Linked DNA regions of Schizosaccharomyces pombe. The protein of the gene in region 1 purifies or fractionates together with the protein of each later gene. This does not show direct contact. Each region holds a gene or a part of one and is shown on either strand. Other genes may lie near its edges.

Evidence for each region.
Region 2: the proteins of clc1 (region 1) and apl3 purify together in Schizosaccharomyces pombe (co-purification; one study listed by BioGRID). This does not show direct contact.

Annotation. Positions count from the first base shown.
Region 1 is NC_003423.3:1,822,893-1,830,083, reverse strand, and holds clc1 (clathrin light chain Clc1), read right to left. Parts: upstream 2,932-7,191; 5' UTR 2,922-2,931; coding exon 2,232-2,921; 3' UTR 1,886-2,231; downstream 1-1,885. Other genes in the region: mdl1 (peptide-transporting ATPase), read left to right, coding at 1-1,424; Nop52 family nucleolar protein, read right to left, coding at 4,587-4,800, 4,983-5,271, 5,328-5,435, 5,480-5,522; mrpl10 (mitochondrial 54S ribosomal protein uL15m), read right to left, coding at 6,384-7,148. UniProt on the Schizosaccharomyces pombe protein: Clathrin is the major protein of the polyhedral coat of coated pits and vesicles.
Region 2 is NC_003423.3:1,421,637-1,430,463, forward strand, and holds apl3 (AP-2 adaptor complex subunit Alp3), read right to left. Parts: upstream 5,812-8,827; 5' UTR 5,671-5,811; coding exon 3,034-5,670; 3' UTR 2,592-3,033; downstream 1-2,591. Other genes in the region: palmitoyltransferase Pfa5, read left to right, coding at 1-147; drp1 (RINT1 family protein), read right to left, coding at 237-2,273; ATP-dependent RNA helicase Mss116, read left to right, coding at 7,153-8,760. UniProt on the Schizosaccharomyces pombe protein: Adaptins are components of the adaptor complexes which link clathrin to receptors in coated vesicles. Clathrin-associated protein complexes are believed to interact with the cytoplasmic tails of membrane proteins, leading to their selection and concentration.

The sequences.
Region 1 (7,191 bases):
TTGACTTTCATAAACATGGGGATCTCATATCCCGTCTTACGACGGATTCGAGTATTGTCGGTAAGTCTTTATCAATGTACTTAAGTGATGGTCTTCGTAGCTCAGTTAGTGCAATTGCTGGAATAGGGATGATGCTCTACGTATCCATGAGACTCACTGGATATATGTCCCTAATTGTACCCCCAATTGCATTGGGAGCTTTCTTTTATGGAGAGTATGTTCGGAAACTTTCCAGGACTACACAAGATGCTCTCGGTGATTTAACAAGGGTTTCAGAAGAGAAACTCGCAAATGTTCGGACTACACAGGCTTTTCTAGGAGAAAGACAAGAAGTAAATCGTTACAACGATTACATTCGAAATCTCTTTGTCCTGGCAAAGCGAGAGGCTTTTGCTAGCGGTATTTTCTTCGGGTCAACAGGGTTCCTTGGGAACGCAACTGTAATCGCTATTCTTGCGTTAGGCGGAAGAATGGTTGCTGCAGGTGATATAACTGTAGGACAGCTAAGTTCATTTTTGCTGTATACCGTTTATGCCGGTGGAAGCATTGTTGGCTTATCAGGATGTTTTACTGATATTATGAAAGGTCTGGGAGCTGCTAGTCGGTTATTTGAACTTTTAGATGCTAAACCGAAGATAGCTCCAACCGTTGGGATTCCCGTTCCAGTCACAGTCGGAAAGGCAATACTTTCGTTCAGAAATGTTGGGTTTGCATACCCAACTCGTCCTTCAGCTTCAATATTTGATAACTTATCTTTCGACATTCATCCAGGCACCAATGTTGCTATAGTCGCACCTAGTGGCGGTGGAAAATCCACCATCTCACAGCTCCTTTTGCGCTTTTACGCACCTAGTAGTGGGAAAATATTAGCTGACGGAGTTGACATCTCTACATATAATGTTCATCAATGGCGCAGTCATTTTGGTTTAGTTGGACAAGAACCGGTTTTATTTTCTGGTACAATTGGCGAAAATATTGCTTACGGTAAATCTAACGCATCTCAAGAGGAAATCGAAGATGCTGCCAAACGAGCGAATTGTAGTTTTGTGCTTTCTTTCCCGGAGAAATGGTCTACGCAAGTCGGGACTCGTGGTTTACAACTAAGCGGGGGACAAAAACAACGCATTGCAATTGCTAGGGCACTTCTTCGAAATCCAGCATTTTTAATTTTGGATGAAGCTACTTCAGCATTAGACGGTGAAGCAGAAGTAATGGTGGATAAAACGATTCAATCTTTGATGCATAATCGTAGTATGACTACCATTACGATTGCTCACAAATTGGCTACTATTCGCCGAGCTGATCAAATAATTGTTGTTGGAGACGGGAAAGTTTTGGAGCAAGGGTCTTTTGAACGATTGTCTCGTCCTGGTACCAACTTTTACAAGTTAATGAGATGGCAGCTTGGAAAAGTTGAACCTTGATCGTAAACGTGAAGTATCTCTTGTTCGTTTTATTAATTTATTCATGCGTACTCTCAAGACGCAATTTTCAATCATATCTTTAAATACATCGGTACTCTATTCTTTTTTTTCTTCGCTGGCATATAAGATTAGCAAATTAATAATATTCAGTTCCGTAATTAGTTTGGCATTTAAAGAAAGGGCTGCGGAAATTGTTCCTTTAAGCAATATCAACTGAGAAGAAACTGTAAAATCTAAAACCCCAATAGCAAACTTAAGTTTGAAAGGAGCAAATATTAAAAGAGAGAGAATATATATTAATTGCACAAAATTCGTTACGCTTGTAAATCTCGACAATGAAAAATCGTCCAGTAGTTTATGCGGCAAATGGAAGTGAAGCTAGATACAAATCACATTAAATGAAATAACTACAGTACGGACGTTCAGTATTTGCTACAACGGTAAAAGGTTCAAGTATTTTTAAATAATTTTAGAAATCATATTAAAGGGTGGAAAGTCGACAAAATCAACAAGCATAAAAAGCGGTAAGCAGTACACCAAGAGACGGCATACCGTTATGAAACGCAATATAAGGGAAGGACGAATAAACAGACATACCCTAAATATCAAAGCACAGATCCAAGAAAAAGTATAGTTACAAATCTGTAGTAGGTAGACAAAGAATTTTATATGAGAACTGAATACTTAAAAAAGTATAAATTATAAAAAAAATTCTTAGTCAGATATTATTTTAAACACTGCTAATTGTGTCAAAAGGAAGGGTAGTGTGCAAGCATTGAAAGCAAAAAGGATTGGAGAGCTTTATCTCTAAGAAGAAGAGGATACAGTTGTGCCGGCAGCACCAGGAGCATTGCTATCTTTTGCAAGGCTGATGAGAAGTTCACGAAAGCGTTCTGTAGAGCGGCCATGAGCCTCAGGCTTATCGGATAAATCAATAAGCTTCAGGATACGCTCCCAGCTCGTAGTTCCAGTAGATTTGCTTTCATTTTCTTCCAACAGTTTTTCTTGTTCTTTTCTCGACTTGGCAATGACTTTATCTCTCTTATCATTAAAATTCTCATAAAAATCATCAATAGCCTTGCGGGCCTTCTCGATATTAGATTCGCGCAACTTTTTGGAAGACTCATCTCTTTCTTGGATCCTTTTCATTTGATCCTCTTTCCACTTGCGAACGGGTTCGGGGTCACCGCTTTCGTCTTCAGGGGGATGAACTTCGGCTTGACCCATGTAAGGAGCTTTCGGAGCGGAAAAGGTACCAGAGGCTTGCATTTCAGCATCTATGGGAGGAAAGTTCTGTTCAAATCTAGTTTGTTCAGCTTCCGAATCATTTTCAAAATTCAACAACGCGTCTTTATCCTCCGGTGTTTCGAATTGTCCAGCATCCTCTCCAAGTGCCAACTTTTCGCGTTCCAAGAAATCAGTATTATTTTTAGAGTCATCAACAGGAGCGGTAACCAAACCGTCGTCAAAGTCTTCTAAAGCCGGAAATTGAGACATGGTGGTTGGTAAAGGTTGAAAGTGGTAGTATCTGCATCTAAGTAGACAGCAGCTTTGCTGAGTGTAGCATAATTTAGCGAAACGTCTTTTCTTTCGCTATTTATATTAACGTGTCAATGATATAAACCAAATCGTTAAATTCAGCCAGTATTTTATTTTTCGTTATATATCACTAAAAAATAAACATCTATAACACTGAGGTTTTTTTTCTTATAAAAAAATTCGCTAAACCAAGATAGATAGAAAGTATACCATCTTTTATAATTTACAAAAATGAATACATGAAACATAAAAATGACAGTGAACGCAGTACGAGGTACAGTTTTGTTAGTTTGATCAAGTCGGGAGTTTGAGATTTGTCAAATAGGAACGCCAAGACATTAAAGCAAACACTGTTCAAGGATCTTATAACTACCGAATTATTAGTGACTCCGGTCGCATTTAGTATGAAAATTAAATGCTTTAGGAAGAAGTTTCAGTTGAAATAATATAACGTGCAACATTCACTTTCTTGTCCAACGTTAAAATAATATAATATATCAGATTAATGCGTTAATGTAAGCTACGCAGTTTGGTATCTGATTTAAGGATACATAGAACTGCGGTGAGTTTTCCTTGTGATCTATTATATTACAATACACAGGTTGTATGAGTAGCAACTGAGTATAGGTATTGTATTAACTAGGTTATAATGTTACCTATCACTAATATAGCTTATAACTGAACTGAGGGACGAGGTTCAGTTGTTCTCAATTTATAATATTTGAAGTAGTAAGAATTATATCTGATAGTTATCTTATCATGAATGATATTATATCTCCATCTTGATGACTTATCATGTAATAGTTGATAGAGCAAATAGAACATTGTGAACATGTGACATATAGTGATATGCAACGTGGAGTATCATAGCGTAGTGTAGTATTGCTGACAGTTAAAACGTTTTTACATAGTATGTTTTAATATCTTAAACTCCTACATGGTGTATTTCTAGAGGTTAATTATGATATCGAGGTCTTACTGCAATCTGACTGTTTTACTCACAAAAAGTCTTTAAATTTGAGTAATTATCTTTACTCAACCTTACAGTTGTTGAATGTATTTGTGCGGCCTGATTGTACATGTACTATACAACTATGCATTCGAATGGGAGCAATGTATATGCCAATATTTATTGCTAAGCACGTCGGGTAATTGATTACGAATGTTCATTAGGAATGTTTAAAACACAAGTCAAGCAACAATCAAATATAACGATTCTCATTTGTCTTGTATAAACCTTTTTGACAACATAAATCAATAGTGGCCGTTTGGTCTAGTGGTATGATACCATCTTAGGGTGATGGTGGTCGTGGGTTCGATTCCCACAACAGCCCATGTTTTTACACTTTTTTACAACTTGATGTAAATATCGATTACTTATATCTTTTCACCTCTTAAGAGTTATAAAAATATAAGCACATATCTACTCTACATGAAGACGATCTGGATATTCTTAAGAAAGAAAAGAAACAGCATTACTACGAAACTTTTGTTGTAGGGGTACGGAAATGAAAAGTTCAATCATATGAATAATTAATGTCTATTACAAACCACAAGTTGTATATTACCACCAATATATTTTTTTAGTTCACCAAAACCTAATAAACGTGCCGAATCAATTAATTATTGTGAATCCTTTGTATATTCAGAAACCCGATCAAGACGTTTGGGAAGCGTCTTTCTTAAGACAACATTATGACTTGACTTGATTGTAGAATCAAAAGGAAGATACCAGTCCGCTTTTGGTACATCTTCTGGGTAGACTTTTCTTAATTCCTCAGTCCATATATCAGCTAAATGGAATAAAATCCCATTTGGAAAAGCAAGATTTTCGGTACTAAAAGCAGTTAGTAGTCTGTCCAAATAAACAGAAAAATGATAAAAATTAAGAAATAGCTATTCAACAAGTTTGATGTAAGCAGGAAGTAAAAGCGTTGCAAAACTTTTCTAAAAGTCTCCAACGCAAAAGCAATCTATATAATAAACAAATTCCCACACGCGGGAACGAAAACAACTTACTTAAAAGGACCATCCATCCACATCTGATTATATTCAGCCACTACTTTGTCCAGCAAAGCAGTTTTACTTCTTGTTTGAATATCCCGAAACGCAGCAGCACAAAATCTACGCATTAACAAGTAAAATTTGTCTGTTCGTAAAATATCAATTCCCGTCCATTCACGACCCATAGTTTCCCAAAAAGTAGATTGAAATAATATTCTATTGTCTATCCAGACAATTGGAACCAACGCGGCTAAATTATCTGAGAGTTTCTGTTGGTATAAGGGTTTATCAGCCATCCACATGCCTGCATATTAAAAAACAATTAGATGATTTACATTCATAACCCAAAAAAATTCATACAGTAAAATAAGCCCTTCCAAAGCTTGAGAAAGTCTAACCTTTCAAATTTTTTCTTTTGGCTTAAAAACCGCTGCAACGATTCAAGAGCCTTATCACGAGTTTTTCGATCTTACAGTGTTAGTACATTAATCATTTATATGTAAGAAATTTACCATTAGCTGCAAGTTTCTTAATAAACGGCGACGGAGCCGACATTGTTGGTTTATTGACAAAGTGTTGAAGCAGTTCTTAGCATCGTTCCTTCCATACTGCGTTTTAGTGCACTAATTGGAGAGTTGATAAATGTCCCTTTCTAATATATGAAATAAGGAGTTTCCCAGTCAATATGTATTATTTTTTTTAGAATTGACCGTTTATGTAGATTAATTGATCATAAGGTTAATGTACTACTATGGTTCGCTTACACTTCTATTACAAATGCCGGTTTTCTTAGTCATTCTTATATATAAGTCTTTAACCGTTCCATTGATCAACAAATGTTCTTTTTCTTCTTCCTTGCATGCCTTTGAAAAGGAGATCCTTTGAAAGATCTTTTCCTGTTGGATAGACAATCGGAGGATGAAAAAATTTTAAGAAAGCTTTAAACAAAAAAAGGCAAAAGATAATAATTTAACAAACAGTCGGCAGGGGTTCTTGATTATACAAAAAAAGTGCATGACTGCGAATGCTCAAATCTACTAATGAAGCAAATGAATAAATGTGAGAAAGGGTTTATCTGACAGAGAATGAACTGACTACAACAAGGGGATTTGGGGGATAAAGAAGGAAGCTATATTTTCGAATGAGAAAGGTATTCAAAATATTACTAATGGGTATTGAACTGTAAGCGAAAAAGTCAGTAGAGAGCTCAAACACCGAAATTGGAAACGTAATTATACAAATGTACTAAGAAAAGGATGCAGATATTTCCTTACAAAACTCAACATGTAACCCATCCAAGAAAGTAAAGGAGGCTGCACGGAATCATCAATAGACATAACAAAGTTTTAAGGACATATTAGGAAAGCGGGATTTTTGATGAACATATATCAAGTTCTGATGTAATATGGGAACTACTTATTTATCTTTAACAATCGGTTCGTAGGGGAATCGTTGGTCGCCATAATATAGCTCTCGAATATTTTTAACGTTGGCAAGATACCCTGCAAAATGTGGATTTGTGTAGTAGCGTATGTCTTTCTTTGAAACTGGAAGGGGAGGGCGAGGAGGTGTACGAAAACTTGAAGGATGCAAATGGGCACGTAGCGCCAACGGGCTGAAATATACTGTTGTTATACTGCCGCCTGCATTTTTGATTTGTTGTATAGCTTGAACTGTAGCCTTAGAAACTTCTATGGAAATTGCTGTTTTAAGGAGTCCAGGTTCGTCAGCAGTAAGTTCAACTCCATGTTTAATACCTCTACAGCATCTACTATCGAGGAGGTCTTTCATAGTAATTGTCTTGCTAGCATCCAATCTACCACGATCAATCCATTCCTGAACTCTCCCTAACCCCAGACGCAACGGTTTCTTCAAATGTCCCGTACTGTGACCAACTTTAGGAAATAATTTGGTGATAGGAGTTTGACCACCTTCAAAACCAGGTTTAATTCTCCGTCCACGCCTTTGACCAGATCCTTTATGACCACGTCCAGAGGTTTTTCCTAAACCGCTCGCAGGGCCTCTACCCACTCGCTTCTTTGACTGATAATTTGCACTGTTGTTTAAATCATTCAACATACTGATGCCGCGGAAACTAGCACCAAATCTTGGATAACCAGAGGATCTCAAAAAACCATGAAATGAAGAACTGCGACAAACCCGAGATAAAATATTAAACATTTTCCAATTCAAAAAACGGGTTTCGTCGAGTTTAGATGGTAAT
Region 2 (8,827 bases), 400 kb from region 1:
TCTGAGAATTGGAGAGCAGTAATGGGAGATCATTGGTATAATTGGATTTTGCCGCTTCGTAGATCACCAGGTGACGGTGAGCATTTTTTGTATAGTCCAAGTTTTGTCAGCAAAATGCAATCAAAAGCTTTATCAATGAATTCTTAATTTTTATGATCTATTAATGTCGTTACTATCTTTGTTTTCTAGATTCTCTAAAAAAAAAGAAACATTCGAGTCAGATAATATTTAAATAATTAATCCTTCCATGCATCAACTCGCCGATATAAAACGCCAAGTGCGTCCTCGTAGGAAAGCGTAATTTCCTTTGTTTTAAAAAATTCATCTATGAAGTCATAATTTTTTTGATTAATCTCGATAATTAGTTTTTTAATAAGCTTATTTTCTCCCGATTCCAGAGATAGTAGCTCAACAGTTGACATTAATCGCTCGAATTTCAGCAAAGGATAGTCTGAAAATTCTAGTACAATCTGCATTGCATCCATTGCAAATTGTACACCTCCTCTCACACTGAACTGGTGGGTCATAACAATTTTTATCATCCAACTTTCAACTAACGTTCCAATCTGATATATAGCTTCGCATTGAGAAGAGCCAATCAAAAGCTTTTGGAGCAGTGCAATGATTTCTTTTAGCCTGGACTGAAATCCTACAATTTCTGCAGAAACCGATGTTGATAATAGAGCAGCACCAGGAAGTTGTTCCTTAATTACCCATGTATCAAGGTCAGAATAGTTGTCAAGTAACGGCCTTAACGTTTGCGAAACTGCACGTAAAATCATGCGAAAAGATCCATTTGTTAAAGTAGATAATCTAGGTTTGACTTGATAAAAAGCCGCATAGTTTTCTGATCCCATTTTATGTCCTATACGAATGTAGACATCCTCATCTTCAATATCATCAAGCCAATCCATGAGTAACTTGAAGTTACTGTAAAGTTTACACATCCGTTCAACTTCAGCAATATCAAACTTGGATTTGTCTGTCTGCAGACTACCAGGTAAATGAATAGATGATGAACTTTCATGAGATTCATAAAAGGCTTCCAACCAATTAACATACTGCATCATAGGCTTTAACTGAACAGATCGCCAAAAATTAAATTGATAATCAAGAGATGGTAAATTTTGAAGCACGGAAAACGTCGTCTCAATCATGTCTCGAAATCGTACAGTCATTTTCGTGGGGACCGCTGAGCTGAAATCATCAGACTGATCGCTTTCCAGCTCCCAAGCATCTGATGCAATTTTTATATCTTCCAACTTTGTGAGGCTCAATTGAGTCTCTAAACCCAACCATTTATCATAAGTTCCGTTTTGCTCAAAAAGAAAAATAATTAAAGGGTCTTGGGTATAATGAAAATGTTGCTCCAACCGCACAGAGTATTGTAGGGTTTCGTGAACTAAATGAACTAAATAATCATCATACTTTATTATATGCGTTAATTTTTCCTTTGCAACGTTGTTTAGCAAATTGATAAATGTAAAAAATGGAGGGACGCCGGGAAAAAATTTTATATCACGCATAAGCATGTAGAAACTACGATTAGAGCGAAAAACTTTTAGTAAGAACTCAAAAAACCATTCTGGTTTTGACAATACATTTGTTTGCTTCTGAGACATAAAGTGGTAACGAAACTGGTTTACATAGGGGGTAATGTACACCTGCATAAATAATGGAAGACCTGTTTCAGAATCTTTAAACGATTGAATGGATCGGACAAAACCAAAAAAACTTTCAAATTTTGATGATTCCTTCAAGTTAGGGTTAATAGCAGGCCAATTAAATAATGTCTTAAGTTTTTCGGTGAGCTCGTTCTTCCATTTTTCTTTCACTTCTCTTTCCTTTTTCTGAAAAAGTAATTCGGCTATGTAATGTAAACAATCAGGTGCAATTTCTGTCTCATCTTTCTTCGTTGACAATGTCGAAAAATCGGTAGAAAAGTCTAAGAAATTTGCAACAGTATCGAGAGAAGCCGATTTTTTGACAAAGGATTGATATACGCATAATAACTCAACTGTGTCTCGGAAAATAGGCGTCGGGTCGGCAGGTATTGCTGAATCTAACCATGCGTCTTCAAGCCCTTCACTAGACCTTCGAAATGCGGCATCTTCGCGAGCCTGCCTCTTTTCTTCTTCGCTTAAAATAGGAAGTGAGTTAGGATCCGGAAGCTGAAGCTCATTGACTTCTTGTTGAAATTTCTCTACTTCATCTGACTTATAAGGATGCCGTGTTCTTGAATCAATAAAATCAATTAACTGTTGGGACATCATCAAAAAGTCCTAGGTGACCCTTCAATGAAGTTTCAGCTGCTATTTGGTTCTTTGTTTACTTCTCTGAACAGTTTTGGAATAGTCAATGTGTTGGCACGACTTTATTTACGGTGCTCGCTAATGTTGCTAATATCATATAGTTTGAAGTTTTAAACAATAAGACTATTGCAATATAAAGTGAGTAGTTTTTATTAAACAAAAATTAATATTCAATAAATTGTTGGCTTATACTTCCAAACTTGTGATTCTGAGTGGGTTATATTTGACAAAGATATGCTGATGGTTACACTTCGTCGCTTTTACGAAAAGAAGTGAATTATACGATATAAATAGCAAAAAAGTGTCTCAATTATTCAGGTCTATATTACTTTTATTAAGGACATTAAGATTTGTTGGTATCGACTGCGCATATTTCGAGACAGAGTATTTAGATGTTTAATGTCCTAGCGTGTGCCAAATAAGGAAGAGTTTTTATCCATTAAAAACAGTATAAGTATTTTCACTTAGAAGAAGTTCACTAAAGCAAATAGATATAAAGAAACAAAGATAAAATAACAAACATCATTGAACAGCACTTCGAATACATTAAAATTGTATTGTACTCTCGTACTTCCAATAAAAGGGGTATAAGTTAGTATATAAAATAAAATTCAAGGTAAATCTTCACTAAGAGATACTCAACTCATCAAATGTGGACAGAGGCATAGGCATTAAAGCTATGACAATCAATAAAAATTTTTGAGAGTAGCAGCGACAACTATTAAAACGAATTCCTTAAAATCTCTTGCATTTCTTTTGCCAACGTATTTGCTATTGAAGTGTTAGTAGAACGAATTGATAGACGAATCAAATTTTGTTCGTAATTTGGTTCAATACGAAGTAAACATCCAACATTCTGTGTACCAAATCGAATAATTCCTGCTCCTACAATATTAAGGGCAATAGAATCAACATTTTGGCATATTCCCCAGTGAAATCCACTAACTATTTTTGTCAGTCGTTTTGCGTCAAGCTTTCTATCTTTGCTGTTGAGTCCGAAAGTTAACTGTGCTTCCCTTTCCACTCCCATTTGACCCCAATGGTTAAAGAAATCATAGCTGTCAAATATTGTCGGTTTCATAAATTTTGATAACAAAACCGGTAATTGGAGGTCTATCGAACGTATAACACCAGTAACATAAGACACATGAATAATCGGAGGTTCGAATATCTCATTAACTCCACTCATAACATATTTTTGCTGAAGTTGAACTCCTGATGGCAAATTTGTATCTTGAAAAGTTGTTGCTAAATGGAAGGTAGAAAAGGTTCTAATTAACGTTGAAGAGAGTGACTTCAACGTATTTGACTGTCGATTTTCATAATACAAATATATGGCGCCTTCTGAATTGTGATATTCTGAACGAACACCAATTTGTATTTGAGAATCTTGGTACAAAATTCCCTTATCTTTCCAACATAAACGATAAAACCCAGGAAGACATGCTGATATGTCATATTCTGGAACATCAATGGGCGTGGATGGTTTGGAAACATTGGGAATGGTTTGAGGATAGGTATCAACCAAATTTACCTTGCTGCTAGGACGTGACTTTGGATGCACTCCATCTCGATTTCCGTCTAAAAATGGGGGAACTTCATCACAAACCAATTGGAGAAAGTCCCTTGGCATTTTTAAAAGTTGAAGATATTCACATGCTCTTTGTTGTACTTCTGGATTTATAATAGTAGAATATTCCTGAAAAACCTTCGCAATTCTATCGTTCAATTCAGGCTGCAAATTTGCCAGTTTGATTAAAGTGGTTAAAAGCAGAACCCTCGTACTGGGAGAAGAAACATTCAGCTTACGATAAATTGTAGAAAACTGATGAACAGGTTGGCTGTCCGGGTAATCGGTAATTAAATGCCCAAATTCACCAAGAACATAACCTCCAGCTTTGACTAAGCATTCATGAATCGTTTCAGACTGTAGTAAGCTGAATAGCCGTTTGGTAGCATATTCCTGGATTTCTTCGTTGTTCACAATGACATGAACTAGCTGATGCCAGACGCCATCATCAGCGGATTTTCCAGCTATCCGAAGCAGTTGTATAGTAACATCGACATACCATTCATAGTCGGTAGCAAAGGTCTCTGAAATTATGGCAACCTTAGAAATAAGATCCTCCTGAGTTACTGAGTCAAGATGTGGTAAATACTGCAATAAATCGGCAACGATGAGTTTAGCATTTTCCTCGTCACACATCATATACAAGAGTTCTAAACTTTTTTTTCTAAGGGAAACATCCTTGTACCTCAAAGAGGATAATATTAATTCCTTATAATGCTTTAAAGAAGTGATAGAATGTCCGCATGAAATTAGATAGGCAGTCGTCTCAAAAGCCAAATACCGAATATTGCTTTCTTTATCAGCGATCATGTCAGCAAGTCTGTCCATACATTTTTCGTACAAAGAATGAGATTCGTCGACTAGAAAAGCCAGTTTGATGGCTTCGAAAAGGATAGCATTCACCGCATTTACTTGTTGTACGTTTGAGTTATCATTTGGCAAACTAAGGATTCGATCTAGTACACGTATTAGAGTTGCCCTTGTGGGATTGTCCGAAGGCCTTTCGCAAGCAAGTAGAATACGACAAAGATTAACCTGTAGCCAAGGGCAAGGTACAGAATAATACAAATAGTCACTTGAATAACCGTGTTCAAAAACTATGTTCTTCAGTTTACCAACCGCTTTTCCATAAGCAAATTTTTGATATTTTGGCTCCCGAATTACGATTAAATTAACAAAATTAGAGACCGCCAACGAAACGTTAAGGTCATCATCACCTAGTATCATAACTATCGGCTCAAACCATTCTGGGTTGATTAGATCCGGAAACTTTCGATAAATATGTAGGAGAGCTAAGGCAGATTTCTGACGAACAATATTTTCGTTGCTTGCCGACATTAGAAGTTTATAGATGTCGTAGTACACGGTTTCACATAATTCTCGGCCACCAATGTTGGCTATTGTATGCAAGGCCAACGAATTTTGTAAAGAGTCATGACTCAAAAGATCTTTTTTAATACTATTTATAACCAACTTCATCAACTCATGGTTCTCGTTTAGCAACAAAGCAACTGCCAAATAACCAATGAGTTTTTCACTATACTTCGTCCCTGAAAGGAGTTTTGCAGCTTCCATATGGCCAAAAGTGATGGGATAACCCAGCATATATATATATAAAAGCTTGCTGACATATTTTTTTCGGTCATACGCAGATAAAGTAGAACTTTGAAACTTTGCACGAATTTTAGCCAATTCAACATTTACACGTTTCTCTTCATCGTCATGCTCTAAACTTCTCAAATCCGAGATAAACGCTCGAAGCCCTTTCATATTGTTGCTAGCCACCATTTTTTACTATTTGTATACTTTGTGAGCAATCACACTTTTATCGGTATTGTAACATGCAATATTCTTATAAACTCAACCCAAAAGATTCATTACAATGGCACTATATCCAAATACCCACCAATTGAGCTTTTGGCTTAGAACAAACAAAGTTGTAAGAAGCGACGCGCTGTTCAAACAATACTTTTTCGTATTAACTTCATTTTCGTTAATAGAAATTATCGTAGGGGGACGTAGCCCATGATTTTCAAAACAACGTACTACCTAGTATTACTTTATATACCAAAGTAAACAAAAGATTAATTTTTAGAAAAAACGTGATGAATGCAAAGCCGGGTAATGGAACTGAATAGAAAATGCTTTCATCTGTTTCATACAAACACATGTGCCTAAAATATTCGACTTGGGTTTGCGTGGATGAGAAAATTAATTTATGAGCATCAGTACAAAACATTTCATTTAGAGCAGCCATCCAATATTGAATTTAAGCATATTTTGCTGTGTTCTTACTTTTTACAGAAAACTCAAAACATTTTCTAGCTTCAAGGTGTCTCTCAAACGATAAATCTGTATTAAATAGTTAGCAGGTAAGCCGATTCCGAGTGAAATGGATTAAATCATATTATACATGAAGCCGTAATAATTCCGGATACTGAAGGGCCTTTGACTTTTTTTCAACAATTGGAATATCAATTGGTTTTGACAAGTCTTATTTTGCTTTTGGAGGCTAATTTCTCCCATTAAAGAAGCAAAACGAAGTATCATTAAATTATAACGTGTCTAATAATTTTAGTCTTCACGCTTTGTTTCATAAAAACGATTTTGTTTGCATGGGGCAACTATGCAAGCAAACCAGTTATTTTTTTTATAGACTTTGTTGTCTCAATAATCTTTTCTTTCAGGTTGTATCTTCCCACTTTTTTTTCAATAAAATTGGACTTAAAATATGGCTGAAATAAAATGAACCAGTTATTTTATAAGAATTGTAACAAAATAAGATGCATTTGGAACTTGGAAAAAACAATCAATTCTTTCAAATTTTGAACTACTATAACTAAAGCTTGAAAACATTACAGGAATCGATTTATAGACATAAATTGAAGGATACAATTAAACTCAATACATAACTACTTTCCTAAAATATTTTTTTACATAGAATTATATATAACAACTCTTTAGCTGAAGAGTTCGTGTTAAAACAGCTGTCAATCTTGAATCGAAGAAAAATTGAAAGTTGGATTTCCTACATGAAATGACGCTTTAAACATTCCTTTTTTTTCATAATATTGAGGAAATACCATATTTACTGAAGATTAAAATTTTGTAAAATTCCTCTTAACTTTTTTCTTTGGCTCATGTATCCCTACTTCCACAACCATTATTTTTGGAACTTTTTTTTGAACTATATTGAGTTACAAGTATATTTATTTCTTCGTAATTTTGAGTCAATTGGTAATACAAGCAGTATAGTTCAGAAAGTCGAGAATGAATATCTCACTGAAAGGAGCTATTTTTTCAACTGTTGGGAGATTTAACTTACCCAAAGTTCAAGGATTTATAAGATGGAACTCGACAATGAAATCACAGCAACCAACGCTGTTTTCAGAGGTTGCTTCTCTTTCTAGTACTTTCAAAAATAGTTTGTCTCGCGCAGGGTTCGAGAAAATGACTCCAGTTCAGCAGCGGGTATTGAATGAAGTTTTTCCTAACGAAGAGAATGCTGTAGTGCAGGCAAAAACAGGTACAGGAAAGACTTTGGCTTTCTTGTTAGTGGCCTTTAAAGATGTGCTTAAGGGAAAGCCACGTTTGAATTCCTCCAAAATTCACTCCGTAATCCTTAGCCCGACAAGAGAATTGGCCTTACAAATTTTTGAAGAAGCTAGAAAATTGACTTATGGGACGGGAATCCGCGTTTCTTATGCCATTGGCGGAAACTCAAAGATGAGAGAGGAAAATGCAATTCGTCGTGGTAATGCCAATCTTCTGATTGCAACTCCTGGGCGTTTGGAAGATCACCTTCAGAATCCAAGGATTCTTGAATCTTTATCTACTGACTCTTTCATTTTGGATGAAGCTGACCGTTTAATGGATATGGGGTTTGCTGAGTCAATTTTGAACATTCATGAAGCTGTCACAACTACTAAGACCAGGAAGTTGTGTTTTAGTGCAACAATGCCGCCAAAAGTCTCTAACGTTTTTCGTGGAATTCTTGGGACTGATTTTAAGCTCATAAACTGTCTGGATCCAAACGAGCCTCCTACGCATGAGCGTGTGCCCCAATTTGTTATAGAAACCAAGCTCGATAAGGTATTCTCTTCTTCTCTCTCACTTTTACAACAACTCACTTCTTCAAATCCCTCAAGTCGTATTATCGTTTTTCTTCCCACCATAAGCATGGTTGACTTTGTTGGCGGAGTTTTAGAAAATCATTTGAAGATTCCTTGCTTTATTTTACATTCCGGTTTAACTACTGCGCAGCGTAGATCTATTACAGAAAGCTTTAGGAAATGTCAAAGTGGTATTTTATTTGCTACAGATGTTGTCGCACGGGGAATGGATTTCCCTAACATTACCCAGGTTGTCCAAATAACTGGTCCTAGCAATACCGATGATTACATTCATCGAATTGGACGTACGGGTAGGGCTGGTAAAACAGGAGAGGCATATTTAATTCTTCTGGAACAAGAGAAACCTTTTTTAAATAGTATCAAACATTTACCTTTAAAACGGGCAACTATCGAGCCCTTATCAGATCAAGCTCTCTCAACTTTGAGGTCGGATATTGAAAAGTCATCGAAATTTTCCCGTACAAATGCTTTGAAAACTCTGTATGGGTCTAAACCTCATGTCTTCTCTGGTTCGTCCCAAAGACGAGCCACCGGTAAGAACATTCATGAATCTGCTATTGCTTTATTTTCTTTACATGACGTTCCTGGCTTAATGGAAGAACTTATATACAAGTCAAGAGGTAGAGGTTCACCAAAAGGTTTTAGGGGATCTCAATTAAAATATCCATCATCTTCATCTTCCTCCTTTCAACGACGACCTCGTTCCCTTCCTTCAAGAGGTCGCTATCAACAAAGTCGTCGCTAGTTCCACCATGACAAAAAAACAAAACATTTCATTTCTCTGATTATTAAAAATTAAAAAAGGATGTACA